Linked DNA regions of Notamacropus eugenii. Each later gene encodes a partner of the first gene's protein in a complex. Links are inferred from orthologs where the notes say so. Each region holds a gene or a part of one and is shown on either strand. Other genes may lie near its edges.

The links.
Region 2: the proteins of ATP8B1 (region 1) and TMEM30B are in contact, whole or in part, in a cryo-EM structure (PDB 7VGH), measured with the Homo sapiens proteins. The link is inferred for Notamacropus eugenii from reciprocal best matches to the Homo sapiens genes ATP8B1 and TMEM30B. Residues at the interface, in NP_001361314.1 of Homo sapiens: Trp362, Val366, Ser369, Ser370, Trp371, Tyr372, Leu373, Tyr374, Asp375, Gly376, Phe418, Trp421, Asp422, Leu423, Tyr426, Asp431, Pro433, His939, Trp942, Arg946, Tyr968, Phe971, Asn972, Gly973, Ser975, Ala976, Gln977, Leu1003, Gln1005, Phe1049; in NP_001017970.1 of Homo sapiens: Gly9, Ala10, His11, Gln12, Pro13, Asn15, Phe18, Thr19, Gln20, Gln21, Arg22, Leu23, Pro24, Ala25, Trp26, Gln27, Pro28, Leu30, Ser31, Ala32, Ala35, Leu38, Phe39, Phe46, Leu49, Leu53, Tyr109, Tyr111, Asn116, Phe117.

Annotation. Positions count from the first base shown.
Region 1 is NC_092875.1:432,473,419-432,489,350, forward strand, and holds the start of ATP8B1 (phospholipid-transporting ATPase IC), read left to right. Parts: upstream 1-9,113; 5' UTR 9,114-9,257; intron 9,258-10,172; exon of another isoform or gene 10,173-10,376; intron 10,377-15,932. UniProt on the Homo sapiens protein: Catalytic component of a P4-ATPase flippase complex which catalyzes the hydrolysis of ATP coupled to the transport of phospholipids, in particular phosphatidylcholines (PC), from the outer to the inner leaflet of the plasma membrane.
Region 2 is NC_092872.1:304,643,127-304,658,866, forward strand, and holds TMEM30B (cell cycle control protein 50B), read right to left. Parts: upstream 8,170-15,740; 5' UTR 6,515-8,169; coding exon 5,447-6,514; 3' UTR 2,383-5,446; downstream 1-2,382. UniProt on the Homo sapiens protein: Accessory component of a P4-ATPase flippase complex which catalyzes the hydrolysis of ATP coupled to the transport of aminophospholipids from the outer to the inner leaflet of various membranes and ensures the maintenance of asymmetric distribution of phospholipids.

The DNA.
Region 1 (15,932 bases):
ACCAAAATATTTTTAAAAATATGTTCCTAGACCAGGGATGGGGAAACTGTGGCCTCAAAGACACCCCTCTAGGTCCTCAAGAGCTGCTCTTTGACAGAATTTGAACATACTGTGAAGCTTGAATTCCGTCTAAGGGCCATACTTGAGGACCTAGAGGACCACATGTGGTCTTGAGGCTGCAGGTTTCCCACCTCTGTCCTAGGCCCCAAGTTAAAATATTCTGCCCTAGGAGAAGACAATCTCTTCTTTTGTATTTTAAGTCTTTTGTTCCCACCACAGAATAAGTAAAAAGTCACGATGAGTATACCACAAGTAATAACTTCCTTCTAACCAAATTTTCCAGCCTTGTCCAGTCATGTCCATCTCTTTGTAATTCCTTAGAGCATATTACTATCCATCATATTTTCTTGGCAAATATACTGGAGTAGTTTGCCATTTCCTTCTTCAGTGGATCAAGGTAAACAGAAGTTAAATGACTTGCCCAGGGTCACAGAAGTAGTGTGTGTGGCTGGATTTAAACTTGAGTCTTCTTGCCTTCAGGCCTGGAGCTCTATTCACCAAGCCATCTAGCTGCCTTATTTTCCAGCCTTAGGATACTACCCTCTTCCTGCACCCTGTGGTCTAGCCAAATGAGGCTTCTTGATCCTCCTCACACATGACAGTCCTGCTATTTACATGCTTTTGTCCCCAGTGTCTGGAATATATGACCTTCTCACCTCTACCTCTACCTCAAATAATCCCCAGTTTCCTTCAAAGCTGGCCTCAAATGCCACTTCTTCCAGGAGGTCCCTCCAGCTGCTCGTGCCTCCCCCACAAAATTGCCTTAATGTTGTATATATTTTGTATAAACTCATATGTGTATGTGTTGTCTCCCCCCCCCCAAAAAAAATGATCGCTCTTCTTCTTGAAGGCAGAGACTTTTTTCCATGTATTCCCTGTGCCTAGTATAATGTGTAGCACACAGCAGGTGTTTAATAAATGTCTGTTGATTGATTGATTAATTAGGGACATTTAAACTGGGCCATCATACATAGCACGTCATCATGTAGGGCTGGAGGAGGGAACTCCAATAAGAGGAAATGAACAGAAAGAAAAACACTTCTAGGATCCAACTGGAGGATAGCAATCCTACAATTTGGCTGGAGCTGAGTGTGTGAGGGGGAGGAGCGTGAGATAAACATGGAAATAGAGGCAGCCAAGATGTATTGAAGGAAGTAAAGCCCAAAGAAGTGATCTACCTAAAGCTACACAAGTTTCTTTTAAAATTCTGAACTTAACAAAATACCAAAGAAAAATGAGAATTTTCATATACAAAATAGAATAGAAAATGAAACTGCATGGGTCTATCACATACAACTTATTTTCCCTTTTAAGAATACAATAACTTTGACATGTCACTGTCAAAGCAGTCCTGTTTGCATACAGTAAGTTGATGGCAGAGTTAGGAATAGATTTTTTTCTCCTGAATCTTTGACTCCCCTCTGAAAAGTAGCCCCACCAATGGGACAGCGAAATAGACCCCCAAAGAGTTCTGTTTCTCCATATGAACCCAGAACTCTTTATTTCTGGTCCAGCGTTTTCCCCCATACCAGACTACTCCTAACAAGTTATCTGTGTAGGAGTATCACATTAGTGCTTTATCATTCATTAACACCTTACTGAACATCAGTTGATCAGATTTGCGTCCCTCCTCTATCTAACAGGAAATTGAAGGATACAAAATAAGGAGAGGTAGAAAGAACAGGTTTGAGTAGGTAGTGGGAATAGGGGGCAGCAGCTTTGGGGCAGCAAGAAGCAAAAAAGGGGGGACTGCAAAAGCCTGAAAACAAACTATCATTTTAGAGACCGGACTGCAGAATAACCTTAAGTAGATTGCAGAAATATTAAATGTACCACTTGGAGAAAAACAAACAAGAGACCCCCCAGATAAAAATTTTGGGTATAAATATTTAAAAAGGCACGTGTTAGAACTTGTAGCTCAGTATTTTTGGCTTGGCATCTCCAGCACTTGGCCCAACTCCCAACACATAGTCAATTACCAATCAATGTCTGTTTCATTGAAATCAATTCAATAGAACTGTGTGTGAGCTTGTTAACATGAGGACTTCCTGTAAGCACTCCCTTCAAAAGGCCCCACATAATTTGGATCATTATGTAGCAGAGATTGGCCTAATTTTATAGGATGATTTGAATACTATTCTTATTATTGTGTCGGTGATGGGGATGACAAATGATTACTCATGCTTTTGTCTCATAAAACTTTCCTTGCACTGGGGGCATTGTTATTTGTAGAATGAAGATTTGAACAGCAACTGATCATTGAAAAAGAACAGAAATAGATGTATGAAAGGTTTTTAAAAATATTTTCAAAGTGCTTTTAAAAACATAACAACCTAACGTTTGTGGAACTGTGGGGAAAAAGGGACACATATATCAAAATTGGTTTTATTTTACCAAAGAGTAATCATAATAATAGCAGCAACATTTATACAGTACTTATTATATACTAGTCACTAAGATGCAGATGTTATTATTATCCTTGTTTTATAGATGAGGCAATTAAAGCAACAAAGGTTAAGTGACTTGCCCAAGATCTCAAAGCTAATCGGTAAATCTGAAGGTACATTTGAATTCCTGTCTTCTTGACTCCAAAACCCATTTACTCCCCATCTAGCTGCAATATAGAACTACATACATAAAAGTTACAAAGCTGTTCATGCCCTTTGATCCAGAAAAGGAAAAAATAAAGTGATTTGTATGAAAATATTCTTAACCCAATTTATGATAAAAAAAAAAAAAACGAAATTTACCCAAATCCCCTCCCCCTCTCCTTGAGAAAATGCCAAACAAATGATGGGATATTAACATGCTATGTAAATATTTTTAAAAATGAAAAATATGTAGATTGCTTTGGTGCATAGGAAGGAAAAAACAGAACATTGAACTTGGTGTGAACACGTTTGCCTCCCCTTGTCCCCAACTTTTTCCTCCTTTTGATTTTAATATTTCTATCTGTGACACTCTTCACCCAGTTTCCCATGTCAGAAACCTCAGTCAAGATTAACTACCTTTTAATTTCACCTCTCCCATCATATTAGTTACCAAATCTTGTCAGTTTTTCCTTATTTTTCTCCCAACATTTTTTCAATCACATGGACTGAAAACCTCAAAGTCCTACTTCCATTCTCTTATCAACATCCACTCATTTGCTAAGTTCTGCCAATGCCATCTTCCTCCATGACTCTTTCCATATTCTAGAGTTTAGAACTAGAAGACCATCACACTATTCTAGTAACAGGCTACTCAGTAATCATCTACCACTCAAGGCCTCTGAATAGGTTTTCCTACCCCCATTCACTCTTACTTCTAAACAAATTTTCACGTTGTTGACAGAATAGCCTTCCTTATTTGTTGATCTGGTCTTGTCATTTCTCCAGTTAAAAATTTTCAGTGGAGTTCACACTCCTTTTCCTAACTTTCAAGGCACTCTTCTAACTACCACTACCCTACCTTTCTATCTACCCTTATCTCATACTACCCCTCCTCCTACACCCAGTGCTCTTGTCACACTTGACAACTTAACCTCACTAGTATAAATCCCACACTTCCCTGACTTTACTCTCCATGTTCCCCATACCTGGAATGCTTTCTCTACTTCACCTTACTTTGTCTAGAAATTCCCAATCATCCTGTAGTTAAAGTCCAATTTAAATTGAACCTCCTCCAGGAAACCTTTCCTGACACCCTCCATCATTTATGACTTTCCCAAATCGGATGCATTTAGCATGTTTAGTTTTATATTATGATTGTCTGTATTTTTGTCATTCCTAAATCCTATAGTTTTATGGTCTAAAGCAGGGGTGGGAAACCAGCAGCTTCGAGGTCACATGTGGCTCTCTAGGTCCTCAAGGGTGGCCCTTTGACTGAATCCACATTTTTGTTAAGGGGAGTTGTTCTGTGAAGTTTGGATTCAATCAAAGGGCCACCCTTGAGGACCTAGAAAGCCACATGTGGCCTCCAGGCTGCAGGTTCCCCACTCTGGTCTAAAGACATGGAATGTGATCTATGTGGGAACACTTTTCACCAATATGATTTAGTAGAGAAATCCTAAAATTGTTGGAGGCACTTAGAGATTAAATGACTTGCCTAAGGTCACATAGCTACTGTGTCAGAGTTGAACCTAGGTCATGTCGACTCCAAGCCCAGAAGTTTTTCCAATAGGCCATTAAGGCCTGAGATTCTAATAAATAGTACACAGAATCATAGAATGTCCAGAGTTAGAAGCAAACTTATAGATCTTCTAATTCAACCCCCATTTTACAGAGGAGGAGAATAAGGCTTTGAGGCATAAGCAACTTACCCAAGGTCATGTAAACTCCTAGCTTCCAGACTGATGCTCTTTCCATTACATCATGCTGGATGTCACCAGAGTAACTGACAAGTCACTGAAACATCACCTAGGTGTACACCAGATGTTTCATGTCTTGCTTCTTTTGGAAAAGATGAGCCACATTCCTTCTGTTTCTATGAGCTGCCAATTTTCCTAATTTAAAACTACGGGCTGAGTGAAAGAAGTTTCAAGGTGAAGCAAAAGTAGTTAACAGATGAACAAACTAACCAGCTATATAAAAAGATTTCAGAAAATTATTTGGACCCAAAGATGACAAAACTAGATCAACAAATTACATCTGGGGTGATAAATTCTTCTTGGAAATCAAATTTAGGAAAAAATAAAGCTGATTATCTGAAACTTCCAGAGATTTTGATTTCAGAAAGAGATACACAGAATGGAACTTCCTACCTACAATTCTAAAACCAGTCTGAAACAATGACTGTAAGAATTCCTCAGTCAGCCTTAATCTTGACTGCCATGAAAAATTTAACAATGGCACAAGCTGAGGTGTGAATACCTTTCCAACAGCATTAGACGCTTTGGCTTAAATGACCACACTCTGAAGCACACGGAACTGAATACCTAGATCTGCTCTCTTAAGCATATCTTTCTTCCCTTGGCCAATATCACAGAGGAAAAAAAAATCCAGGAAACTACTTCCTAAGTTTCAGCAAGAGTAGCTACTTCTTGTCTATTTTACCAATGTATCTCCCAAATGGTTCATTTACTAAATGTTGTCAAGGAAAGAAAAAAAAAACCAGGAGGAAATTATGAGCTGCTGAAAGCAAAGAAAGCATTGTGTGCCTTCCTTTAGAAACCACTGCTTCTGTTAAATTTAATGACTTTCCCCTGCAGCTTGCATGGAAAAGGTGTGGTTACTAAATAAGGGGTGGTTTCTAAATAAAGCCCTATAAAGTGTCCAAACCCATCTGGGAACTTTGAGAGAGAATTACCTAAGCTGCACTGGTATCAGAGTTGGTGCCAGGCCTAATAAGTCAGCTTTCAAATGAGTCATGTGAAGCAAATTTCCAAATCAATTCATGTTGCTATCATGAGACACTTTCAGTAAGTGACCTGAAACTCATCAGAGATGGAGTGAGAAAGCACAAGATCATGGGCTCTCTGTTGCTGAGATTATTAAATGACTTTAGAGTTGAGGTTCTTATCCTGGGGTCCATGGACCCCCATAGATTTTAGGGAGTACATGAACTTAGATGGGGAAAATAGTTTTGATTTCATTAAAATTTGGTTTTCTTTGTAATTCTATTAATTTTTTATATGTGTTAAGACATTCTGACAAGGGGTCCACAGGCTTTATCACATTGCAAAAGGGGTTCATCATTGTTCAGTTATCTGTTTTTCAGTCATGGCATTTGCCATCCCCTTGCTTTAATCTTTGTGACCCCTTTTGGGGTTTTCTTGGCAAAGACACTGGAGTGATTTGCCATTTCCTTCTCCAGCTCATTTTACAGACTGAGGCAACTCAGTCTGAGGCAGAGTTAAGTGACTTGCCCAGGATAATAAAGCTAGTAAGTATCTGAAGCTAGATTTGAATTCAAGAAGATGAGTCTTTCTGACTCCAGGTTTGGCACTCTGTCCATCTAGCCAGGACATCAAAAAGGTGAAAAAGCATTATTTAAAGGTAGTTTCCATTTGTCACTAGCTGTAACCCTCATAAATTCAACAGAAAACCAGGAAGGAAAAAAAAGGGGATGTGAACTTGTAAGAGAACAGCCCACTAATAGAGGAAGTGAGCACGTATGTGGAATGGACTTCAAAGATGGGTCTTTTAGGGAAGGATTATAAGATCGTAGTGAAAAAAATTTTAGAGGATGAGAGGTTGACAGACTTGCCCAAAGTCATCCAGTCAGATGCAGGCTTCAAACTGAAGTCTTCTGACTTCTCTGCCAACACTCCAACAAACTGCCTCTAAAAGGAAAATTATTTGATTTATGCCTATTGCTCAAATAACTTCCCCCAAGCCCTCTGACTTCTCTAATATATTCTTTAAAAGAAGCAGCAGGAGTGAGACCCGAGTAGTATAGTCTCTCCAAAGAGGAGTTTTTCCCTAGATGAAAAGAACTCTCTGAACTGGGTGCCTTAGTAAAGGGCAGGGACCGCCTCAGTATAATGCTTCTTCTAGCCTATTCTCCCCACTCTCCCTGCCCCGGGATAAATGTGTTTGATAAAGGAGATGTCAAATTAATGATTTTTTCTGATATCATTTTCTATCCTCTTGCTTTAAAAATAAAATTAGCCTATATGGTTTTTTAAAGCCCCTTTTTATATTTATGTGGACATTATAAAACTGGGAAGCTACAATGACTGATTTTTTTTCTGTGCTTTATTTTTGAGAGTACAGTAAATTTATGTTCTTCAAGAGTTGTCTAAGCAATGTAACAAAAACCTATTGCTATGATCCTATAATCAATCCTTCCCTAAAAGATCTACCTTTGAAGTCCCTCCCACCAACACAAGCTCACTTCCTCCATTAGTGGGCTACTCTCTTATAAGACCACATTCCCCACCTTTTATTTTCATTCCTGACTGTTGAATTTCTGAGGTCTATGGTTAGTGACAAAAGGAACACACCTTTAAATAATGGTTCTTCATCTTTTTTGGTGTCATGGCTAGGTGAATAGAGTACCAAAGATCTGGAGTCAGAAAGACTCATCTTCCTAGTTCACTCACTGGGCAAAAGGTCAAAATACTTCAAGAAAAAGTAAAGAGGATAGTTGCTTAATGATGAATACAGGCTTGAGAGGAAGGCCAGCTGTTTCGTGGTGGCACGTGCATTGACATGTCATTTCTAGCTGTTTCCCCTTTAATTATCCTGTGACTGCCTTCACCTGTCCAAATTGGACCTGCAGGTGTCCCTAATGCTTCCTACTCAAGCTGATTCTGTCTTAATTTGGCTTAGTAAGGAAGGCATGTAGAGAGCTGGATCCTCAGGAGATAAAGAAAGGTAACTTGTGCCTCAGGGTAGATTGATTGTTAGGTAGATTGAGAACTTGAGCCACATAAAATCTTCCTAATGACTGTGGCAATAATCTTACTTAATTTACCAGGTATACAACCAGAAGATGTCCATCTTTCTCACCTACTCTTTCCACCACCAACTTAGTTTTCCCTTTTTCTGTTCTTTCAGTCACCTGGACTAGAAGCTACAAAGTCCTCTTTGCTTTTCTCTTGAAATCCAGTCATTTGTGAAGTCCTGTCACTTTCATCCTTCCCATGGTCTCTTTGCATTTCATAGGATTTAGAGTTAGAAGACTAGCTAGTCCTCCAGTGATCAATTGAGAAAATTGAGGCCCAGAGAGGTTGAATTTTTTTTTTAATTTACTCAGATGCAAAGCTGAGACTCCAAAAGGGTAAATAGGTGGCTCAGTGGATGGAGTGCTAGCCCTAGAGTCAGGAGGACCTGAATTCAAATTTGGCCTCAGACACTTACTAGCTGTGTGACCCTGGATAGGTCACCTGACCCTGTTTGCCTCAGTTTTCTCATTTGTAAAATGAGCTGGAGAACAAAATGGCAAACTACTCCAGTACCTTTGCCAAGAAAACCCCAAATGGGATCATGAAGAGGGGGAAATGACTGAAAAATGATCAAACAACAAAAAAGGACTCCAAATCCAGTACTCTCTGCCACATTCCTTATTGTCTCTTCTCGACACCACCTTCGTGGAGATTCATTACATCTCCTATAAACTACAGCAATACCCCTGCTCTCCCTCTTCTAGTTTAGCACAGTTCTAGTATAGATTCCAGATTAATCTTCATAAAATAACTTGGATTACTCACTACCCTGTTTGTAAAAACAAAAACAAATGGGTTCTTGCTGAATTTATTTCAGCAAAAACAAACTTTTTAAAGCACTCCTGTGTCCAAGTCACCAATGGGTGTAGAACTCACAAAGAACTACAATAGCACTTGCCCTCAAGGAACGTACTTTGAACTGAGTATACGCCACATGTACACAGATAAGTAACTAAACTGATCAGAGAAACCAAATAACTGGAGAACTGGTCTCAAGATTTTGAGGAACTGTTCAAGTTGGCATTCAGATACTCTCAAGTATTCAAAATACTCTATTCCTGACCTCAACCTAGCTTTAGTGTAATCTAGGTTTCCTGAATTCCTGCCATTTCCTGTTTCTTGAATAAATCTCTCTCTCTTTTTTTTTTATCAGCAGAACAATTTATACAATAACAGCGACCCTACAGAATAAAGAAAAAAACTTTGAAAAACTTTAAAACTCTGAACACGGAAAGACGAGATGAGCCGTGTCTCTAGATAGGACTGATGCTAATCTCACTTCTTAACAGAGAGCTGACTGAAAAAGTGGAAGGAGATACGCATTTTGGCTTTGTGTTTGTTTTGTTTGACCATATTTATTTGTTACAAGGGCATATTTTTTTATTGGGTGGGCAATGGAAGAGGGGACAGCAATAGCATTGCCTCTCAAAAAAAGAAAAGAAAAAGACAACATATACTAGCACAACTGGATTTGCACCTAATGACTTCTAGAATGCCCGTTCCATGTGGGTATAGACTCATAAGACTTAAAACAGTCTTATAACCACGTAGAAAGTTAAATGAATGTGTCTTAAATGAATGAATAAATGAGGGAACATTGAACATCTACTTCCTCAACTCTGGGCCAGAGATGGGCAGGATACAAACAGGTATAACAAAGTAAATCCTTTCTTTCAAGTAGTCTTTATTTATTTTGGGAAGGATGGAGGAGGGAATTATTGGATCATACACATAGGGCTGAAAGGAACTTTAGAGGCCATCTAAACTCATTTTAGAGACGAAGAATCTAAGGCCAGAGAGGTGAAGATACTTGCCCAAGGTCATACAGGTAACTAAACATAGAAGTGAGTTCAAATCCAAGTCGGTTCTATGACAAATTCCAATGAAACAACAGAAGACGGTATTTACTTGTGGGCTGTTTGTGTTGTGCAGGTTTGTAGTACTGGCATGAGTTATGTTCGCTTGGCCATGAATGTGAAAGGAAAGCTCCTATTTTGTTTTTCACAATGGGGCAGCCTGCTCCCCTTCTCTGCACCCCCACGGTCCTTCTCCGGGCTCCCCAGTGGCTAGCGCTCAGTGTCTGACAAACCCGCCCCAGGCTTCGTGGAGCGGAACCTGAGAGCAGATGGAAAAGTAAAAGCGGGAGCTGCTCTCGCCGAGCCTTCTGCGGGTTTCGGGGTGGAGGAAGCGGGGAGGCAGTGTAGGCTGCTGGGCCTTTTTAGAAGGCAGACGCGATGTGTAAACCGAGAGCTGTAGCAGCTGCTGTGGTCCCAGCAAGAGTGAGAAGGAGGGGGAGAGAAGGGGACTGCAGTGGCTCTGGGCTGCTAGCCAAGCGGGGTGGGGTGAGCGTAGGGGGTCAGGCGAGGTGGATCTAAGTGCGGGGGGCCGGGGGGGCAGCAAGGGTGCAGAAGGTGAGGGTGGGAAGCCACCTGGACTGCGCGGGGGCTTTCTCTTCTCGGCCCTTTCTAGTCTGTACATTCCACCTGGCTCCGCTCCACGCCCTGCCACCCTCCCACGTCCCCCGCAGAGAGGGGGAGAAGACCCCTCCCCGTCTCGCTCCCTCGCCACAGTCTAGCTGGGCTGCGGTGGCTTCGGCCGTAGGGAGAGGGGAGGCACCTCCGGGGAGCGGCGAAACCTGTTGGTCCGGTCCTCGGGAGACCAAGGAAGAGGGAAGGCAAGAGAGGGAGGGAGGAAAGCAGGAGGAGGGAGGGGAAGAGACGGGGGCGGGGGAAAGGCGAGAAGCCATTGGAAAGGAGGAAGAGCGGCAGTAGCCGCAGTTGCCGCCGCCAAACCGGACACACGTTCCCCGGGGCCCCGGGCCAGGAGCGGTGCGCCATGAAGTGTTAAGGAGCCTGCTGCGGGGGGCGGGGGGCAGGTACGGCGGCGGAGCACACGGGAGGAGCCCGGCGGGTGCCAAAGTCGACTGGAGGCGCTGAATGTCAGACAGGTAAGGAGCCACCGGGGCCGGGAGCGTCCCCCGCCCACCCCGGAGCCCCTAGTGTCCCCAGGCTCGGGTCCCCGGAGCGGAGCCCGGGCAGCGGCGGAGGCGGCGACAGCTGCCGGGGCTGGGGTCCTGGAAGGAGGAAGTCGGTACCAGGAGGGCCCGGGGAGTCGGGAATGCCCCGGCAGCTGGGGCGATCGAGGCGGTGGAGCGCTGGGAGGCAGAATCGTTCCATCCCGCTGCCCAGCCCAGGGTGGGAAAGGGAGCGGGGACTCCACGTCTATCTGCTCATTACTTTTTAAAAAGGCATATATGAGAATTGGTGCTTTAATCTTGAAAGCCACTGGAGGAAGGACCCGGAGTTCTTTGGACTGCCGCTTGTGGGATGTCCCTCCGGGAAGGGCATTTAAACTCGGCTTCCACACATTCATTCCCGGGAGCGCCCGAGTGGGGTTCTGTGGCACCCCCCTGCTGAGGTTTCGGGAGCTCACCGGAGGGAAAATTAAGGGGAGCTGCAGGTTAGATGAATTCCTGGAGGGAAGGATGAGGGAGACACCTGCCAGATCCCAGATCAGATCTCAGGGTGGCTGCCGATAATCCAAGAATGCACCACTAGGTTCGTTGGCAACGGGCAAAGTTTATTTTAACAATAACTTATTTTTTCTTCTCCAACTGCTACCATTAAAAAGGCCCCTTCTCCGTTCCTGATGCCTAGAGTTGTCAGGAAGCATTTCCTCCCACCGTTTGGAGATGTAAAACTTTGCAGAATTTGTATTGAAACATAGATCTCTCTAAAAAGAATTGCCCTGGTTTTCCTCGCCAGGTGCTTAGGGTGTCAAGTGCACCATATAGTGGTGACTGGGCCATGAAAGACCTGCTGAATGTATAGATTGCATATCGTGGAGATAAAGGGCAAAAGAAAATACCTCTAATCTTGGATCCCTTTGTAACTGCTTTTTACTTCTCCTTACCTTCATCTTAAACTGACACCTGTAGTCATTTTGGCTCAGCTTTGGCCTGAAAGGGGTAAAAATATTCAGAGTGAGGAACTTACCTTATTTCTTCCTTGACTCGTTCGTTATCTATGCAGTGCTTTCATTACACCAAGACTTTCTAGTGATCTTTCTATGAGAAAGCCCTTCCTACCTCCTTTGAAATAATTGAAAGATAAGGTGTGCATTAAAGAGAGTGTATCTTACATTAAATGCAGGATTGTGGAAGAAGCAAGCACTACTGTATAGTTGTGTGTATATTGGCCTTCATCTTTTAAAGATCACCACCACCATCCCAACCCCTCCAATAACTGGCTGTAAGTTTCATCTGTGTACTTCCAGTGCCTTGAACTGTGCCTGCTCCTCTATTTAATTGAAACTTATATTATGGTCAAAGGTATAGTTATTGTTGCTAGAGCTATTGTTGCATTTGCTATTATAAATTTGTTATTAAATACTTATACAGTCCTTGGTACAATAGAAAAACTTAGTATGTGATTCAATAATGATTACTTGGTTTATTTTCAAATAAAGAGAAAGAGAAATCATGTATGCTAACAGTACCATGAAGGTTCTTTTGATTAACAGCTTTCATTATGTGATGAAATTTGGGGGGAGTTTCCATTTTTAGTTAAGGAGCTTTAAATATTCTGGTATTTTGTCAATTTCTGAAAGTCATGCATATTTTTTACATGGAATGAAACAAAATGTTGCCATACACAAGCAAACAATAAGTATTTATTAATCCCCTAGTATCTTCCAGGCTTTCTGCTAACTAAATACCTGGGATACAAAAGCCACCCCTCCCCCAAAATCCAACAACAGTTCTTGTTCTCAAGGATGTCACAGTTTATTAGGGGAGGCAATATGCAAACAACTGTTGACCAGATAAATTAGAGATAATATCAGAGGCAAGTCACTGTGATTAAGGAGGACTGGGAGTGGCTTCTTGCAGATGGTGGAACTGTAACTGAGATTTGAAGGAGGCCAAGAGACTGAGATGAGGAAGGGGTCCCCATAAAGGGCTTTGGGAATTACTATTAGTAAAGAGTTTAGTATATTGCAGCTAGATATTTGTGTGGCCACTATAAATGACAGGATTTCTAGTCATAGTTGTTATTTACTAGTTAGCATATGGTGTCACTATTAATATTGGTTACTCTCAAGGTTCAGCCTCTTATTTTTAGGGGAAAAAACTATATCTTGTATTTATTTCCTCTGTTAGTAATTTCATGGTACTTTTTGAAAATTTGAAATAAGCAATATTTAAAAGCAAACCCAGCAGAATTCAATCAAAAGGTAGACTTGGAACTTTTCAAGCCTTGAACTAGCTTGCAGTCTTAGGAATCCTACTTTTATAGCATATCTCGGATGTAAACTATTGTATATATGAGTTCTATGTTCATGGTAGAACAGTGTGAATGCCACGACTGCTTACTAGGAAACTAAGACTGAAGAATCATAGATGGAGAGCTGGAAGGGACTTCAGAGGCTATTTAATCCAGAGGAGATGCTAAAGCCCCAGAAGTTAGGGTATAGAGGTAAAAAACATCAGGGCCAAGATGGGACCCCAAGTCTTCTAACTCCAGTCAAGTTCTACACTTTCTGCTATTTTACTTCAGAACTAACCCAGGGTTCAAACTGTACTGAGCCATCCTTTTTGCCTGAATTCTGCTTTTGAGGTTCATATAAATATGTGGGCATACATTAAGGGTGCTGTGCTCTATGAACAAAGCAGAATTGAATCAGCATGAAGTGAATGTAGGATGCACAAATTTGGAGTATCCACCCCAAATGTTCACATGGACTATCTGTACCCAACCTGTGCTAGAGCACATATTGATCTGATCAGTCACAGTCAGACACAGTGAAACTTGAGTTTATTGTGGTGACATTATTTTGGTCCTCTTCGAGAACGAAGGACAACAGCCAGCATGTAAATACATGTATGTATTTACTTTCTTTTACTTTGGGATATTTTAAAAAGTCAACAATCATTTGTTAAATGCTTCCTATGTTCTAGACAATGAGCTAAACCCTGAGAATACAAAGAAAAATATCTTCAAGGAGTTTATTTTTTAATGGGAGTGGGGGTGGGGAGGAGAATAAATAGGTGTATAAAAGATATGTATTGACTAGCTTAGGGCTTCTTAATTTGGAGCTTGTAAGCCTCTTAAAAAATCAATTCAATAAGCACTATTCAACCTAGTTTAGAATATAAATATGCAATCCTGTACATTTTATGCATTCAAAAGCATCCAGAAAAGGGGTGCACTGACTTCCCTAGACTGCCAAAGGGGTCTGTGGCACAAAAAAGGGTAAGAACCCCTAGACTGAATGGAAGCTAACATCAGAGGAAGGCAGCAGCTGAAGGAATTGGAAAAGACCTCTTGCAGAAGGTGGCATTTGAAATGAGTTTTGCAAGAAAGCAGGGATTCCATGATGTTAGTGAGGAGGAATGGAAGACAGCCACTCCAAACTGAATATGTTTTATATTTGTGTCGACTTTCAGGTTTTGCACTTCTACAAGCTGGATTTAGCTAAGCATTAATTATTTGTATATCTCTAGAAACCAGGGTTTTTTGCTAAATATTAATGATTATAACTCTGGCTCCTAGAGATATTAATTTGATGATCTACCTCTGCTCTACAGTTCCAATCTGGTAGGATTGTAGCCCTTGTAAAAGTTTTACAGGAAAAGAATAGGGAATAACTTGTTTTTAGTGATTCAGTGAAAGTTCTGTAGCTTCTGTTTTTATAGTCTGCGTGTGTCTGTGTTTATGTATGTTCGTTCATCCTTCATTGCCAAAGAAGACCATGCCATCAGAGAAATGATGACATGACTTGCCCTTGACTTTGTTTTTTGAGTGAGGGAGGGCTGTGCAGGTCACCAGCCTTACTTCTCCTCCAGAGCCATCTGAATCCAGTGACCAGATATTCATCAGGATGATTGGAAATGACCCAGGATGAGGCAATTGGAGTCAAGTGACTTGTCCAAGGTCACACAGCTAGTGAGTATCAAGTGTCTGAGGTGAGATTTGAACTCAGGTCCCCTGACTCCTGCACTGGTGCTCTTATCCATTGTACTACCTAGCTGCCCAAATAGAGTACTAGAATACTGTCAAATATGAAAGTGAGAGGTGTGGATAACTCTCATAGTTACCCCTTCCAGGCAGCTTCTCTAAGAATTAGGGATCCCAAAAAGAGGTCTTCCAAGAGCTCTGGCTATTTCTTGAAGTGATAACCTAGAGTAAGACTTAATTAAGCCTTTTCATTATAATATCTGAAGATTCCTAATCATTCTGTTGGTGAGCCAATTTCGTCACAGGGAATACCTCAAAATAACTTGTATAAATAAAAATTAAATATACTTTTCAAATAGAAATTTTGATAGGGTCTCAAGTTCTTATTTATGGAAAAATGAATAGGTACTAGTTATCTTTATTTTAGCAGGATAATACACTTTCATTCCGTGGGAGAGGGTGTGTGTGCCCATATACAGCTTCTTTATGAACATATGCTTATTGAATTTCATTCTGCCTGGGTTTGTCATTTCCTTCCCCAGCTCATTTTATAGATGAGGAAACTGAGGCAAATAGGGTTAAGTGACTTGCCTAGGATCACACACAGCTTGTAAGTATCTGAGGCTGGATTTGAAACTCGGGAAGATTCCTGATTCCAGCCTCTGCATTCTATCTACTGCACCACTCAGCTCCCTTAAAGGTAATTCCACCTTTAGTCCCTTTGTGGTATGCACAGAATGAAATACCACTTGTTCAACATGTAAAAAAGGAAACTTGTTTTGGAAAGATAAAGATGATAGAGGAAATAAAATGAATTTCCTTCAGTTTATAGATCATTGCTCTCCAGCAAAAGGAATGCTCTCCTCCTCTCTCCCCTCACCCCCCCCCAAAAGAATCATGACAAATTTGAAATCTTTTGTAATTAGAATTTTAAAAAAAGAGGGAAATGAGCAAAATAATTTAAAGGAAGATAGATAAAAGGAGGGGGCAAATCGTAGAATAATGCAGAGTGAGTTAGCTAGTTCGCCCCCTCCATTAGAGGGCTATCTTTTTTTTTTCTTTCAGTTAAAGGAAGGAGATTACGTGATCTTCCTTACTAAGTAATTCTAGGTTTTTTTTTCCCTTAGCAACCTAATGGGAAGGAAGTTAATATTTCACATATTTCAGTGTTATATGATTGAACCAAGATATTTAAGATCTAAAGAAATATATTTCTCTTTTGGCAGAGTCTTTCAGAACTGTAAATTTACATTTTATGATGTGTCTCAGGCTTTCAAGCTGGGACAATTTATAGTCTATACAATTAAAGAATTTTAATTTTTCATAAAATTAAAGTGACTATTTGGTAAACTGTGGCCAACCATACTATTGGTTTTTGTTTTTCATTTGTTTAACAGCTGTTTCCCTGACTAAAAATTTCCTTTACAATATCTAGGCATTTTATGAATATTTGTGATTCATGGCCCCATTTGTTTCGAGAATTCTAACACTGAATTAGATCAGTCACTTGTATGCCCTCCCCATTAAGTGAGATAAATAAATCTAAT
Region 2 (15,740 bases), on another chromosome or scaffold:
TCTCAGACCCCAGGTGCTGGATGGGTGGATCTGGAGGCGAGGTTGGGGTGGAGAGGACACTCAGAAGTCGTCACTGGCTGGGAAAATGCCTAGAAAAGGAAAAAAAAATAAGACTATAGAAGGTTACTTTCTTGGTGAACAGGCATTTCCTCCCTTCCTTTCTGATGAGGAAGAACAATGCTTACTATCAGGGAAAGACACAGAAGTCAAGGCTTCTGTATCCCAGCCCACTCAATGGGCTCAGGCCATGGAAGAGCTCAAAAAGGATTTTGAAAATCAAGTTAGAGAGGTGAAAGAAAAACTGGGAAGAGAAATGAGTGACATGCAAGCAAAGCATGAACGGCAGGTCAGCACTCTGCTAAAGTAGACCCCAAAAAATGCTGAAGAAAATAACACCTTGAAAAATAGGCTAACTCATTTGGCAAAAGAGGTTCAAAAAGCCAATGAGGAGAAGAATGCTTTCAAAAGCAGAATTAGCCAAATGGAAAAGGAGATTCAAAAGCTCACTGAAGAAAATAGTTCTTTCAAAATCAGAATGGAACAGATGGAGGCTAATGACTTTATGAGAAACCAAGAAATCACAAAACAAAACCACAAGAATGAAAAAATGGAAGATAATGTGAAATATCTCACTGGAAAAACAACTGACCTGGAGAATAGATCCAGGAGAGACAATTTAAAAATTACGAGACTACCTGAAAGCCATGATCAAAAAAAGAGTGTAGACATCATCTTTCATGAAATTATCAAGGAAAACTGCCCTGAGATTCTAGAACCAGAGGGCAAAATAAGTATTCAAGGAATCCACAGATCACCGCCTGAAAGAGATCCAAAAAGAGAAACTCCTAGGAACATTGTGGCCAAATTCCAGAGTTCCCAGATCAAGGAGAAAATATTGCAAGCAGCTAGAAAGAAACAATTCAAGTATTGTGGAAATACAATCAGGATAACACAAGATCTAGCAGCTTCTACATTAAGGGATCGAAGGGCGTGGAATAGGATATTCCAGAAGTCAAAGGAACTAGGACTAAAACCAAGAATCACCTACCCAGCAAAACTGAGTATAGTACTTCAGGGGAAAAATTGGTCTTTCAATGAAATAGAGGACTTTCAAGCATTCTTGATAAAAAGACCAGAGCTGAAAAGAAAATCTGACTTTCAAATACAAGAATGAAGAGAAGCATGAAAAGGTAAATAGCAAAGAGAAGTCATAAGGGACTTTACTAAAGTTGAACTGTTTACATTCCTACATGGAAAGACAATATTTGTAACTCTTGAAACTATTCAATATCTGGGTACTGGGTGGGATTACACACACACACACATGCACACGCACATGCACACACACATAGAGACAGAGTGCACAGAGTGAATTGAATAGGATGGGATCATATCTTAAAAAAATGAAATCAAGTAGATACTGAATAAAAATTTTTGATAAAGGCCTCATTTTTCAAATACATACTAAGTACAGAACTAAAGTCAAATTTATAAAAATAAGAGCCATTCCCCAACTGATAAATGGTCAAAGGATATGAATAGGCAGTTTTCAGAAGAAAGCAAAGTTATCAATAGCATATGAAAAAAACCCTAAATCACTACTAGAAAAATGAAAAGTAAACTAGCTCTGACCTATAGCCTCACCCTGTCAGAAATGACAAAGGCTGAAGGGAATAGGGGAAAAATAGGTATGCTAATGAGCTGCTACTGTAATGAATTCCATTCTGGAGAATAATTTGGAACTGTGTATAGCCTTTGACTCAGTAATAGCACTACTGCATATGTGTCCCCAAGAGATCAAAGAAAAAGGAAAAGAACCTATATATAAAAAAAAATATTTATAGCATCTCTTTTCATGGTGGCAGAGAGCTGGAAAGCAAGGAGATATTCATCAACTGGAGAATAGCAGAGCAAGTTGAGGCATATGATTTCAATGGAGTATTGTGCTATAAGAAATAATGAGGGGATTGGTTTCAGAAAAACATGGCAAGACATATAAACTGATGCAAAGTAAAGTGAGAAGAATGGGGGGGATCATTGTGTACAGTAACAACAATGTTGTAATAATGATTAATTGTGAAAGACTTGGTTACTCTTATCAATACAAATATCCAAGACAATTACAAAGGACTTATGATGAAAAAAATGCTGTCAACCTCCAGAGAGATATGATGAACTCTGAGTACAAGCTGAAGTATAATTTTCTCAATTTTTCTTGCCTTTTTTAAAAAAAAATACGGCTAACATGAAAATGGTGGGAGAGGGAGGGGGTTAAATAGATGGAAAGAGTTTGAAATTCAATTTAAACAGGAAATGTTAAAAATTTTAAAAAGAAAATCAAATGAAGGCTGGGCATGCAGTACACTAAATAAAGAGCAAATGTAAGGGAAACATGATCTTTATTCTCTTTCAGTAAACAAAAGAACATGAAAACTAAATTTTCAATTAAATTTTAAGAAGAAAAAACTGGTTACTTTTTAATTATACAGACTGATGGAACAGTCTAAAAATAACATTGAAATACAGAATTTTAGCTCCCTGATACAAGAAACACATACAGTAAACTCTGTTATCTAGTCAAATTCGGCAAATTGGATGCCTAAAAACCCTGAGTGTGATTAATAAAAAATCATATGGTTTAATAATTTTCACATTTTGGTCCGGACTTGTGCTTTTCATTGATGAAGGAAATTCCAAAGGATGAAATTCCCTCTAGCAGTGCAAATCAGAAATTGTCGATAATTTACAATGTTGAAGAGTTAGGTGAGGCACTGAAAAATTATGAATTGCTGAAAGTCAAATGGCCACTGTGTCCGAGGCAGGATTTGAATGTATATCAACTTTTAAGGTCAGCTCTCTACATTACACCATCACACTACCAAGATGCCTCTCAATTTTTCAAAAAAAAAAAAAATTAGGAAATAAGAATTATATTGAATGTAACTAAAAATGTCTTTGGTAATTTAGAATGCACTTAATTTGGGGGTCTTACAATACTTAATGGTGATTGCTATGGACATTAACATGATCCCAAGACCTATGTGCTATAGTGGAAAGAATAAAAGAATTACAGAATTTGAAAAGTTGGAAGGGACCTCAGAAACCATCTATTCTAAGTCATACATAAAAGAAATACCCATTACCCATTAACAGAGTTCTGGATATACGCACGCATAATGTCACCAGAATAAAGTAGGTAGGAAGGACATAACAAGTTTTTAAGCTTCAATGAATAAGTTACATACAACGATGCAATTTTTAAAAGACAATACAATTGTTTCTTAGAATTTTATAGAATCATTGCATTGATCACAAAAAATATTCAGTCCAAAGTTTAACAACTCTCAAAGTTTCAAAAGTTCAAATTTCAGTTTGCATCATCTTTCCTCAGCAATAATTTTAAACATGATAACTAGAAACATGTAACTTTTATTTAAGAGCACAATGAGAAGAGAAGCTGCTTCTGGGGTCCTCACAAAAGCGAAGCATTTTTGGCCTTTCCCATTAAAGTCTACAAAGTAATGAGAAGGCTAAAGTGTTCCTGTGAGGAATTGGAAAGAGAAACCTATTGAAACCTACTGCTTGCCTAGGATCTAGCAAAGCAAATGTCAAACACAAAATCCACAACTTCAGTTTCTATTACAACAAAAAATTAAACAGTTTGACTCTGCGCCCTTAGTCTGCCCTGCAGTCCCTCTGACTGGAATCGTTTAGCCTTTCTCGAAGCTATTTGGCAGACAAAGACTTCTAGAAAGTCAAGGATATTCTTATTTATAGAAAAGGCATGTGGCTGGGGTACAAATTCTCTTAAATATAATAAGACAAGTTAGTTTTGTACAGAAAAAGAGAAGGCCTGCCAAATATAAGCCTCATTGAGTGGTTAGAGTGCTGGACTTAGGAAGACCTAGGTTGGAATACTATCTCTGACCCTCATGAGGTATATAACTACGGACAAGATATACAGCCTTTTTGAATCTCTGTTTATTCATCTGTAAAATGAAGATATTGCCCGTTGCACTCATCTCATAGGTCTGAGGCTCAACTGAGATAATCTATGTAGTCTGTAGACCTTACATCACCATATAAATCAGCACGTATTAGTGGTATAATGCCCTAAGTTCAAATATTAAGTTAATTAGTATGAATGCTCTCCTGCAGACAGATATGCAAAAATAGCCTCACTCCCAATTACTGTTATAGAAACATGTCAAGTCTCCACCACAATGAACTATAGAGAATAAAAACACAAGGTTAATACTTCCTTAGGAAGTGAACAAAATCATTATTTACAAGGCACGATTATTATTATTATTTGGGGAGGCAGCATGATGTAGTGGAAAGAACAATAGGTTTAGTGTCATAGGATTTATTTTTTCCTACCCCAGCTTTGCCACCACTAGCTGTGTGATCTTAGGCAAGCCACCTCTCTTTGGGTAGCTCCTCATCTGTAAAATTAGGAGGTTCATGCTAGATGATTCCTAAAATCTGACTGTTTGAACCCTACAATCTTATTCACAACAGAATCTGTGGTAATGCTTCAGAAACCCGATTAACTTTCAAACAATAAAAGAAGGGGAAGGGAAATTTATCTGAAGTTCAGGTCAGTCATCCAATCACCATCCTCCAGAAAGCTCACAAGATGATGGAGAATGGGATGGGAAGGAGTTGTTTTAAGGGGGTAGGTAGTTTAAAGGACTGGTTAAGACCCAATTAAACGTCTGACGCAATTAAGAGAGAACTTTGGACTGCAGGCCTACCATTCAACCCCAAGCACAATTAAGAATTTTACTACAATGAAGGGGGCAGTAGAAAGGTGTTAAGGAGGTGGGCAGCTCCAAAAGCTAGGAAGATTTAATCCTCCCTGGGAAAGAGGTGGTGGGCGAATGTCCCTGGACTTTCTATCTTTCCTCCAAACAGTTCCACAGGAGCAATCAGGAACTGGATCATAAAGGAGATGGGATGGGTTGGAAAAGGAGTGTTCCTGAGGCAGGCAGCCCAAGGGCCAGTACAACCTCCAAGACAAGAAAAGGGGTAGTTTCCTTAGGCCTGAGGCCTACCCACCAGCTCCCTCTCGACAACCAGGAATCGGTGGGTGGGGAGGAGAAAGCTAATCTCTTTGAAAGAGGTGGAGGACAAACTTCCCTAGCCCACAGCTCTGTTGTCCAAGCAGTTCCACTGGAACAATTAGGAACTGGGTGGCAAGGAGGGTGGGAAGGAGTTGCTTAAACAGCTGCTCTGATCGGCTTCCAAACAATTAAAGTGGGGAAGGGGGATTAATTTCCCCAGACTTGAACCCACCAGCTGCACAAAGACAACTAGAAATCATTAAGGAAATTTGCGGGAGGAAAGGAACGGGTAAGAGGTGGGAAGGAAGGATCTAAGGTGTCGCAGAACAGCTCGGGGTGCCGGCAGGGCCGCGCCCGGGGAAGCCGCGGGGGGCCATCGGTCAGCGGTCCTCGTCGTCCCCGTCGCCGTCCTCGTCCTGGTGCCGGATGTACACGACCAGCATGACGAAGCCGGTGACGATGCAGAGGGAGCCGAAGGTCAGGTAGGCGATGCCCAGGAAGGGGTTCTTGCCGCCCATCCACGAGACGCTGCTGAAGATGAGGCGCTTGCGGCCGCCGAAGGCCAGCACCGGGTAGCGGTAGGAGATGTTCACGCAGTAGGCCCCGCGCGGCAGCCCGGCCGAGTAGTTGCCGTAGCGGATGCGCGCGTACAGCTTGCGGAAGGTGGGCAGCGCCGCCGTGCGCATCCACACCACGAAGTCCTGGTTCACGAAGCCCGTGTTGTTGGGGTCCGGGCTCAGCTCGTACACCGGCCGCGGCCAGTTGGGCGGCTTGGCCGTGCCCTGGAAGGCCAGCTTCAGGCTGCCGTTGACGGGCTCCGGGTTGTGGAACTTGACGTGGTAGTCCGTCCACCAGGCGATGCCGGTGCGGTCCAGGGGCACCTCGGCGTAGGCGCCGCCGGGCAGGCGCTGGTGCAGCAGCTTGAAGGAGTCGTTGAAGAGGCTGTTGGCGATGGCGCCGCAGGGCGCGATGGGCACGCCGTCGGGGTTGTACTGGTACGGGATGCACTCGTCGGACGGGTGCCGCAGCGCGCTCGCCACCCCGCTGAGCTGCGCGTTGTCTCGCGAGACCACGTAGCGGCGGTAGTTCTGGTAGAAGTTGGACAGTTCGTAGTAGAGGAACACGGGGCCCTGGAAGAGCTCGGGCAGCGAGAAGCACCACTGGCAGCTGCAGTTGGCGGGCGGCGGGGCCGTCCTCTCCCCGGCCGCGGCGCAGGCCGAGCAGTTGCCCGTGCCCGGCTCGCCCGTGTAGTCGTACTCCAGCTCCTTGATGCCGTTGGAGGAGTAGTAGAGGCCCAGGCCCAGGCCGATGAAGGCCAGGCCCACGCAGAAGAAGAGCGGCAGGACGATGCCGGCCGACAGCAGCGGCTGCCAGGCCGGCAGGCGCTGCTGCGTGAAGGCCGTGTTGTCGGGCTGGTTGGGCCCGGGCGACGTCGCGCTCCAGGCCATGGCGGCGGGCGGTCCGGCTAGCGAGCTAGCCGAAATCGAGGCCCCGAGGCCCAGCACCGGGGGGAGCCCGAGTCCGGCTGCCGATCCCTTCCCCCCCGACTCGGCCAGGTGTCCGCTCACCTCCAAGTTCCGCCTCAGCGCGGGTGAACCCTCCCCCTGGTTCCGCCCTCTACCTGCGTGACCAGCTGCACCCCACCTTCGGGGTCCAATTCTTCTGACGATTCCGGGAACCTTGGCTTCAGGTTTCAGGGTTCTCACTCCTCCCCTGCGGGTGCTGCCTGGGACGGTGCACACGGCTCTCCAGGTAGAAGGTGCGTTTCTGCCAGCAGGTGACAGGAAATCCCCGGCCCGGGCGCTCCCTGCACTGCCTTCTCTCAGCAGCCTTATCTTCTCCTAGTGTCTAGTGGCTGCTGCTTGTTTCTTTTCCTACTTTTAAGGTTCCATTTTAACGAGAAAGAGCTAAATTATCAGGGCGCCCTGTCTCTGTGGCTACACATTCCTTTTAACTTTCTGCCACTTAAAGGAATATTCGGATTACTTTCTGTTTTTCAACGGAAGGAAACTGATTTTCAGGTCTTAAGGGACCCACCTTCATTACTTAGCTAAAAAGAGACTTGGGATCCCCACCTTCACTCCATTTCAGCAACACACCAGGATGAATATACTTTTATTCACAAGGGAGAAAATTTCATAGATCTTCTGAGTTCCAGAATTTTTCAGACTCTTCCATGTCTCCCACTTTCTTATTTCTTCAAGAACAGTTCTTCACTTTTAACAAAACTTGTGGTTCCTCAGTTGCTCCTTGGTTTTTCAGTCTGATTAAGCTTGTGGTCAGCTACTTTCTTGCCTCCAACTTAAATCCCTTCCCTCTTTGACCTGCCAGCCCTGGGTAACTTCTGTCATCCACCTTTTCTGCTCTTTTGGTTGAACTTCCTGGTGCTATTGGAAGAAAGTATTATATCCTGCAAGACTGCATCAGTACAAATTTATGCTAACTGCCTTCATGACCTTATTTATCCTTTTGACCACAATTGTGTTACTTACCTAAATTCAAAATATCTGTCCATGCCAGAAAAAAAATATAAAAGGACTTGGGGCTCTCTCCCTTTTTCAACCCCCCTGTCTGTGTTATTTGATACAATAGAATGGTCCATTAAAACTGTCATGTAGGGTTTCAGTGTGAAAACCAAGGCAGGAAAAAAGGGAATTTTGATCTGGGCCAGGATAATGGAGAGTTCATAGATAAGACACAAGAAATAAAGGCAGGAAGCATCACTGAACACTTGTAACCAAGAAACAATTTTGAATCTCTCCATCCATTCTGGGCAAATTCACTGGCTGCCTTCCTCCCATGTCTGGAATTTTCTGCCTCCTCATCTGACTTCAAACTTCCTCCTGGCTTCAAGTTATAGCTAAAATTCCACTTTTTACAAGAAAACGTTCTTGATCTCCTTTAATGCTAGTGCCTTCCCCTGTGTTGATTACCTCTAATTTATCCTGTACTGCGTTTATTTGCTGTCTCCCTCCCTGTTAGAATTAGGAACTCATTTAAATAAAGTACAGACTCCCCACCCTCATCCTCACACACATACCTTGTATTTTTAGCTCTTAGCATACTACTTGGTACAAAGTAGGTACTTAATAAATTGTATTGACTGACAGAAGTGATTGCTTGTTCTCCAAGGAATAATAATACTCAGAAAGTAGTGTCAGGTGAGGCTACCCAGGTCAGAGAAAGAATAGATGAATAATGGTAATTGGCAACTCCCTCTTGAGGGATACAAAGGCAGCTGTTTTTTAACTTGTTTCATTAACAGAGAATTCTGCTATCTTAAGGCATGTATACATGATGTAACAGAACCTGTCAAGACTTGTCAAAACAGATTACTACTATCCACTTCCGGTGATTTGTGTGGTTCAAATGGTACTGCTGGAAGGAATCAAGAAAGTGTTGCCAAAGATTAGAATGTCTTGGGCAAAAAACTATCCCTCACAGGAGCACAGATGGTATTTTCATCACTGCTGCCTGTCAAAAAGCAGGAAATCAGAAAAGGAAAGCATATTTGGTACATGAGCAGCTGGTTAAAAAGTTTATCTAAGGATGAGATTTCAATTTGGGGGGTCACAACTTAGAATATAGGAATGTTTTGTATCTACCAAGAATGAATTTGCCCAGAGCCTTGCAAATTAAAAGAATTAACTGGCCAGAAACCTCTTTAAGTTAAAGAAAACTGCCTATGTACATTAATAACCTTAAATACTATGGAGAATAGCTACAAACTAGGAAGGGTAGCAGTTGAGGCAGAAATCCACAGAAGATAAAACCCAAGAAAGGAGTCAGTTGTAAAATATATGTCCTGGTTTGCCAATACACAAAGAAGTAACATATACATAATACACATAATAAGTACACTATAAAATAAACTAGAGATCCTAAAGCAATTATGCTAATTTAATGTCATAGGTGTCACTAAGACTTGGTAGGGTGGGTTCTGTGATTGGAATATGGTTATGGTTGGCTATAATTTAAATGAATAAGGCAATGGAGGGTTAGTCAGCATTGAATGTTAAGATATAATGCAGTGTACATAGGTGTTTTATATATATATGTACATATATATATATGTCCATCTATGATGACTCAGAAGTTTTAGTTTTAAAGCTTAAAACTTCACTAAGACTTTTGGGATGTACTGTATACCAACTGCCACCCACAGGGCAGGTGAGCCCACAAAACTACAAGAGATCCTTAGGGAAAGACATAAGGCAGCCTATACTAGGCAAGTCATACTGCCACCAGCATCACTACTACCATCCAGCACCATCTTTACCACTATCATTTCCCCAGCAGCCCTGATGGAGACAGCCCAGGATCCTGTACCCGAGAATCTTAAAAATAACAGTTTTCCAGCGCTATCCTGAGAAACAACCCCAGTGGAGATGAAGTCTGGCAGCTCCTGAAGGTTCTGAAGCTCCTGAAGGTCCAAAAGTTACTGCCACCAAAGTCCTTAGAACTGCCAAATGGTTCAATATCAGACACTGCTTTAAGCAATGAAATAACACTACAGATGAGGTGTTACCATCTACTTTGATGATGCACCCTAAGGACTATGGGAACTTTCCATCTGACGTGAAGCTGAAAACTTCTGTATTGTCTCCCCCATTAGAATATGAAATCCTTGAAAGCAGAATCTGCCTTTTCAATTTATGTCCCCAGCACTTGGCACAATGCTTTGTACATAGTAAGCACAATATGTGAGGAAATCCAGTAACTAGAGAGGAGGAAAGCATGATGGAGGTTTTTTGAACGACTACCAAGAGGCAGAAACAGACATAATTTTCACTGGAGTATACTATAGACCACTTGGACAGAAAGAAAATAGATACATTTGAGAAATATAACAAGCCTGACACAGAAGCATGCTGTAGTAGTGATGGGAGCTGGAATCTGCTGGAATGCTCTCTGCCAAAATGACAAGCAGAAAATAATAGAATGTTATTGTTAGAAGGGACCTCAGCATCTATCTTGTCCAACATCCAAAAAGTCTACATTATAACATCCAATATTAGTGGGCATCCAGGCTTGGCATGAAGATTTGCGAATGAGCAGAAATCCGCCTCCCAAGGCAGCCCATTTTTTCATATTTCTACAAAGTTTTAACTCATATCAAAGCTAAATGTCTGTCTGCAGCTTCCATAGAACTTCTGGTTCTATCTTCAGGAACTTAGAATAAATCTAATTATTTAAGGGAAAACAATTACTTATTTTTTTCTACTACTGACTTCTATATGACTACATTCTTACCCTTGAAACAGAACTTTCACTTAACTAAGTACAGTCAGACAAGACATATTAATCATGTCCAGAAAATGTGTTTGACACTTCTGGCATAGTGAATAGAGAGTTACCCTTGGCCTTAGGAAGACTCTCAGTTTAAGTCCCTCATCTGATACAGTACTGACTATGTGAACCTGAGCAAGTCCTTAAACATTAAATGTTTCTCAATATCTTCAAGTAAATTGCTTAAGTTTAAGTTGAAGAGAAGGTGCTGGTATTTCCTGGTTGATTCATAAATTAATGAGATCACAGATCTGGTATGTTAAAAAAAAAAGTAATATCTTTTGTTTCCTGACTCATATTGGTTATCCCTCTCATTTTGTGTCATTTGCAAATTTGATGAACTTGCATGCTGTCTATTGACCTTAATCAAGTCATTGATAAAAATCTCAAACACCACAGGAAAATACTTATTAGAACCCTATGGTACTATAATGAAACCACCCTCCCATCCCACCAGGAAAGTAGACATTGAACCCTAACAACTAACTACTTCAGTCCAGCTACTTGATTCAGAATTTTTCTGTCTAATCCACATCACTTCATCTGTTCCACAAGAACTGTATATAAAATTTTATATAATGCTTTGCAAAATATGAGAAAACTGTAGCATTCTGCTCTGCCATTTTGGTGATGTCAAAAAAAGGAAATAAGGTTGATCTGGCATGACCTGTCCTTAATAAACCCATGCTGTCTATTTGTAATCACTACTTCCTTTTTTTGGATGTTTTTAACTGTATCTTTAGTGATTTGTTAGAATACTCTGAGTATCAGTCCTGAAGTTTGAAGAATCTCTGCCTCTTTTTTAAAACTGGGACAGTCGCACTGCTCCAGTTAATTATGCCACTCACAACCATGGCTTTTCCAAACCATTTTCCCTCCTGAGACTTCTCATGGTTCCCTTCCCCCACCCTCTCAGTCCAAAACCTTGCCTCATATTTCACTGAAAAATTGAGGCTATTCACAAAGAATGCAGCTATTTCTTCTGTTTTACAGAAAGAAACGATCTTTCTCCTTCCTAAGGCAAACCTCTTTACATGCACATGTGATCAATTTCCATCCTATCTTCTTCAGCAGATTGCCCTCCCTACCATTTCTTTCTTTGACTAATCTTTAATCTCTCCCTGTCTCCTAGCCGCTTCTCTCCAGACATCCCCATGTCTCGCTCATCCTCAAAAACCTCTCATTTGATCTGTCCATCCTTGTTAGCTATTTTGTTCTATATCTCATTTCTTTTGATGCCAAATTCCTCTCCTCAAGAAAGCTGTCTACAATCAGTCTCTCAGTTGCCTTTCATCTCATTCTCTTAACTGTCTGCAGTTTGGTTCTGACCTCATACTGTAACCAAATCAGCTCTCTTCAAAGTTACTAATGACTTTATAATTGCCAGATTTAATGGCCTTTTTTTTAGTGGTCCTCATCCTTGAACTCTCTGCCACCTTTGAGACGATTAATCACCTTCTCTTTGATACTCTCTTCTCTCCAGGTTTTTGTGCTATTGCTCCCTTCTAATTCTCCTACCTGAGTGCTTCCAGTCTACCTTGATGGATCATACTAACCTTCAGTGTTCCCCATGTTTGTGCCCAGAGTCCTCTTCTTCTGTATTCTCATCTAGTGATCTTATCAACTCTCATTTCAATTATCTCTATGCAAATATTCATATCTGCTTGTCTCTAACCTCTCTCCCATCTTCCAGTTTTATATTGCCAGTTGCCTGTTAGACATCTTGAACTTGATGTCCTAGAGTCATTTTAAACTTATCAAATTCATCTTTCTTCCACAATACCTATCCTTTTTTAAATTTCCCTATTACTGTTGAGGGTACAATCATCCTCCCACTTAATCAGGCTCACAACCCATGACTCTCACCACCACTTCCCATATCTAATCTGTTGCCAATGCCTATCAATTTTACCTTCATAACATCTCTTATATGTGACCCTTTCTTGCCTTTGACACTGCTGCCACTCTGAAGTAGGCCTGTATCAAATCAGCCCTGGACTATTGCAGTAGTCTGATGATTGATCTACTTTTCACAAATCTCTCCCCACTGAAGACCATCCTCCACTCAGCTGTCAAATTGATCTTCTTAAAGCATAGGTGTGACCATGTTGTTCCCCCTACTGCTCCATTCAATAAACTCTGTTGCCTTCAGGATGATATAGAATGCTCTGTTTGACTTTAGAGCCCTTTTAACATCATCGCTTTCTACCTTACCAGTTTCCTTACATTTTATTTCCCTCACATACTCTGTGATCCAATGATACTTTTCTTTTCCTCATACATGACATTCCACCTCCTTACTCAGCATTTTCATTGGATGCTTCCCATGCCTGGAACTCTGTTCCTCCTCGTCTCTTCCTCCTAGTTTCTCTGGTTTCCTTAAAGTCTCAGCTGAAGCCCCATCTTCTTCAAGAAAACTTTCAAAGACTTCCTTAATCTTGGAACCTTCCCTCTAAAATTACCCTTACTTCATCCAGTACATATTTTATATGTCCATAGGTATTTGTATGTTGTTTCCTCCATTAGACTGAGCTCCTTTTTTTTTTTTTTTTTTTTTGCCGTTCTTTGTGTCCACAACACTTAGCACAGTGCTTAATAAATGTTCATTGATTGGCTATAGTCCTGTAGTATTTCTCCTTTCCTCTTTAATCTTACAAATGTCATTGACAACTGCTCAGCTATTATAATCACCATTTTCTTTACAACAGGAGGATGTAGTTTAGGTCAGGTGACTTTAATTCAAAAGTAGCTAAATGCTCTCTTACTATTTCCTTACCTTGGGCATCAACTTCACAGTTAGCCAATTTTGTTCTGTCATTGCCCATGCAAAAGGTCATGCATGTGTTAAAAATAAACCTCAGAAAATAAAAGTTGTGTGTAACAGCTAAGGCACTTGGGGAGAAGGGCAGTTCCAACGCTTCATCAGAAAAAACAAAAGCAAAACAAGAATTAAACAGCACTGCTTTTCCTGGTTGTTAGCTATCATTGTCTCATCTACCTGAAGCTGCAGTGCTCTCCTTTGATCTTTTCCCCACTCAATACAGCTATTAAAAACAAGACAAAATTCTTTTTGTTATCCTTAGCTCCCCCGACCAGTCTCAGATCCTTCTGAGCTTTAGCACTTGTCACAATTTTAATAGGACCATAACATACTTGTATCCTCTGTTAAGCTGTCTTCTGTACAAATCTTTTAAAAATTGAGGCAGTTTTGTGAATCTGCATTGGTCTCTTTAGGCAATCTCTATTTTTTTTCTTTTCATCCGAATTATTTCCTGTTGGGTCTTGAGAATTGTGTTTTTTAGAATTATCCTTCCTTCAGCTGACTTGCTCCTGCAGAATTTTAGTCTGTGAGATTCTGTCTTTCCTTCTTCTGAACTTTTTGAAATCTCTCCCCAGTTCAAGAGTTTGTGTCAGACTATGCCCAGCTTTTCTCTGTCACAAACTTTAGAAAGAAGTGGTCACTTCCCTCAAGGTTCCTATAATTTTCATCCCAACAATCGGTTCTTCCTTGTTCAGGAGAATTTCCCCTATTCATCCTTCATATTACATTCCTATGACACTTCTCTAATTCAAGAGCTTGCCATCGCTTCCCTGATTTCTTGCTAAAGACTCATAAGTGGATTTCCTATCTCATTATATTCCCTTTCTAATCTACCCTATATGTCAGTACTCAGTACTGAGCATAGTACCTGGCTTACAATAAGTATTTAATAAAAATGCATGGACAGTATGGTTTTATTGTTCTTAGGAATAAGCTCATTCGGCAATGGCCATGCCTGATTTTTTTTTTTAATTTTTAAAATTAAAAAAAAATACAAGTAATACCTAAAACATAGGTGCAACAGAATATTCTGATGGACTACATTTCTTAGCATGCCTGGGACCATAGCATGATTAAGGAAGTTCCCATTATTTCAGTTCCCATTAGACTGTCCTTTGGCATAGGATTATTGCATCACAAGGGTAATTGGAGCTATACAGAAAGCAAGAGCCAGGTCTTAGAAGCCAGGCAGCCCAAAATGTCCCTGAGGCCAACTTTTGGAAACAGAGAGATGAGGCAAAAGAACATAATACCAGCAGGAGCAGCAGTGCCAAAAATACTTGCATTGTAAAAGCTTCAACCCCCTTCATTCTAGTTCAAAAATGAAATCTTTCTCAGATCTTTTCTCATTTCAAAGATCTGAGTCTTGAAGAAACTGTTTCCCTAAGCTTCTCTACTTGTCTGGGAATGATGTGTTTTTTTTTTCCTACTGGTATTACTTTGTGATGCTGTCCTGATTAAATATTTCACTGTTTCAGTGTATAACCCTAACCAGTTAGTATGGGAAAAACTGAATTTGAAGTTCCTGAGAAATGAAGTGGGGGTAAATAAATCCAAAGAGGTAAGTTGTCATTCAATTGGACCTTGATCCATGTGAATGCAGAGATGAGTGGTGCACAATTTATATTGACATCCAATAACAATATAAATTTAATAATGTGTACTAGGCAGGTAAACTAATTGAATTTGTGATATACTTAAGGCATAGCACATATATTCTATTGTTTCAGTATTTGTAACTTAATTTCAGTTTAGCTAATAAATCTACTCAAGCATTCGCTTTACCTTTATTCAGCTTGATTGATGAGGTCAGTCAGATTGACTAAATGTCATTACGCTAGCAAGACTATTTTACAAAGGCGGGGTAAACTGTGCCACAGACAAGTCAACTACAAAGTTTGAAAGGCCCATGAACACTAGAACTATAAAAATATAAATCTATTCAAGTGATGTTATTGGTAATGTTGTTTAACTAATGATTGTTAGCATGACTAAGGTGAAAATGTATTTAATAGGAATGTATGTGTAGAACTTATAAAAATGTATGCTATCTCAGGGAAGGAGTGGGGAGGGAGGGCAAAAATCTAAGATATATGGAAGTGATTGTAGAACACCAAAAACAAATAAAATTTAAAAAAAGTTGAAAACATTGAAAAAAGTAATAAAAATACATATTTTGACATACTAAAAAACAAGCAAACTAATGATTGTTAGCTGTATAATGCCTGGCCTTTCACTCCAACTCATCCTAACACTACCTACACAAAATATCAGTGAATTGTTTTATTATGAATTTATATATGTGTGTATACACGTGTTTATATACACACTGTATATGTGTATATATATGATGTCAAATGATCTACCTTTGAATCCCATATATATTTTAAATATATGTATGTATATATCTGCATGCATACACACATGTTTATGGATACATATGTGCAAGAGTTTACAAAGGAACTATGATTTCATTAGTTTAAGAAATTGGTGTGAGAACCCCATTTGCCAATTCTGATCAAAGTAGGGTAGTGATTTAGTAGATAAATCCTAGAGAATAATCT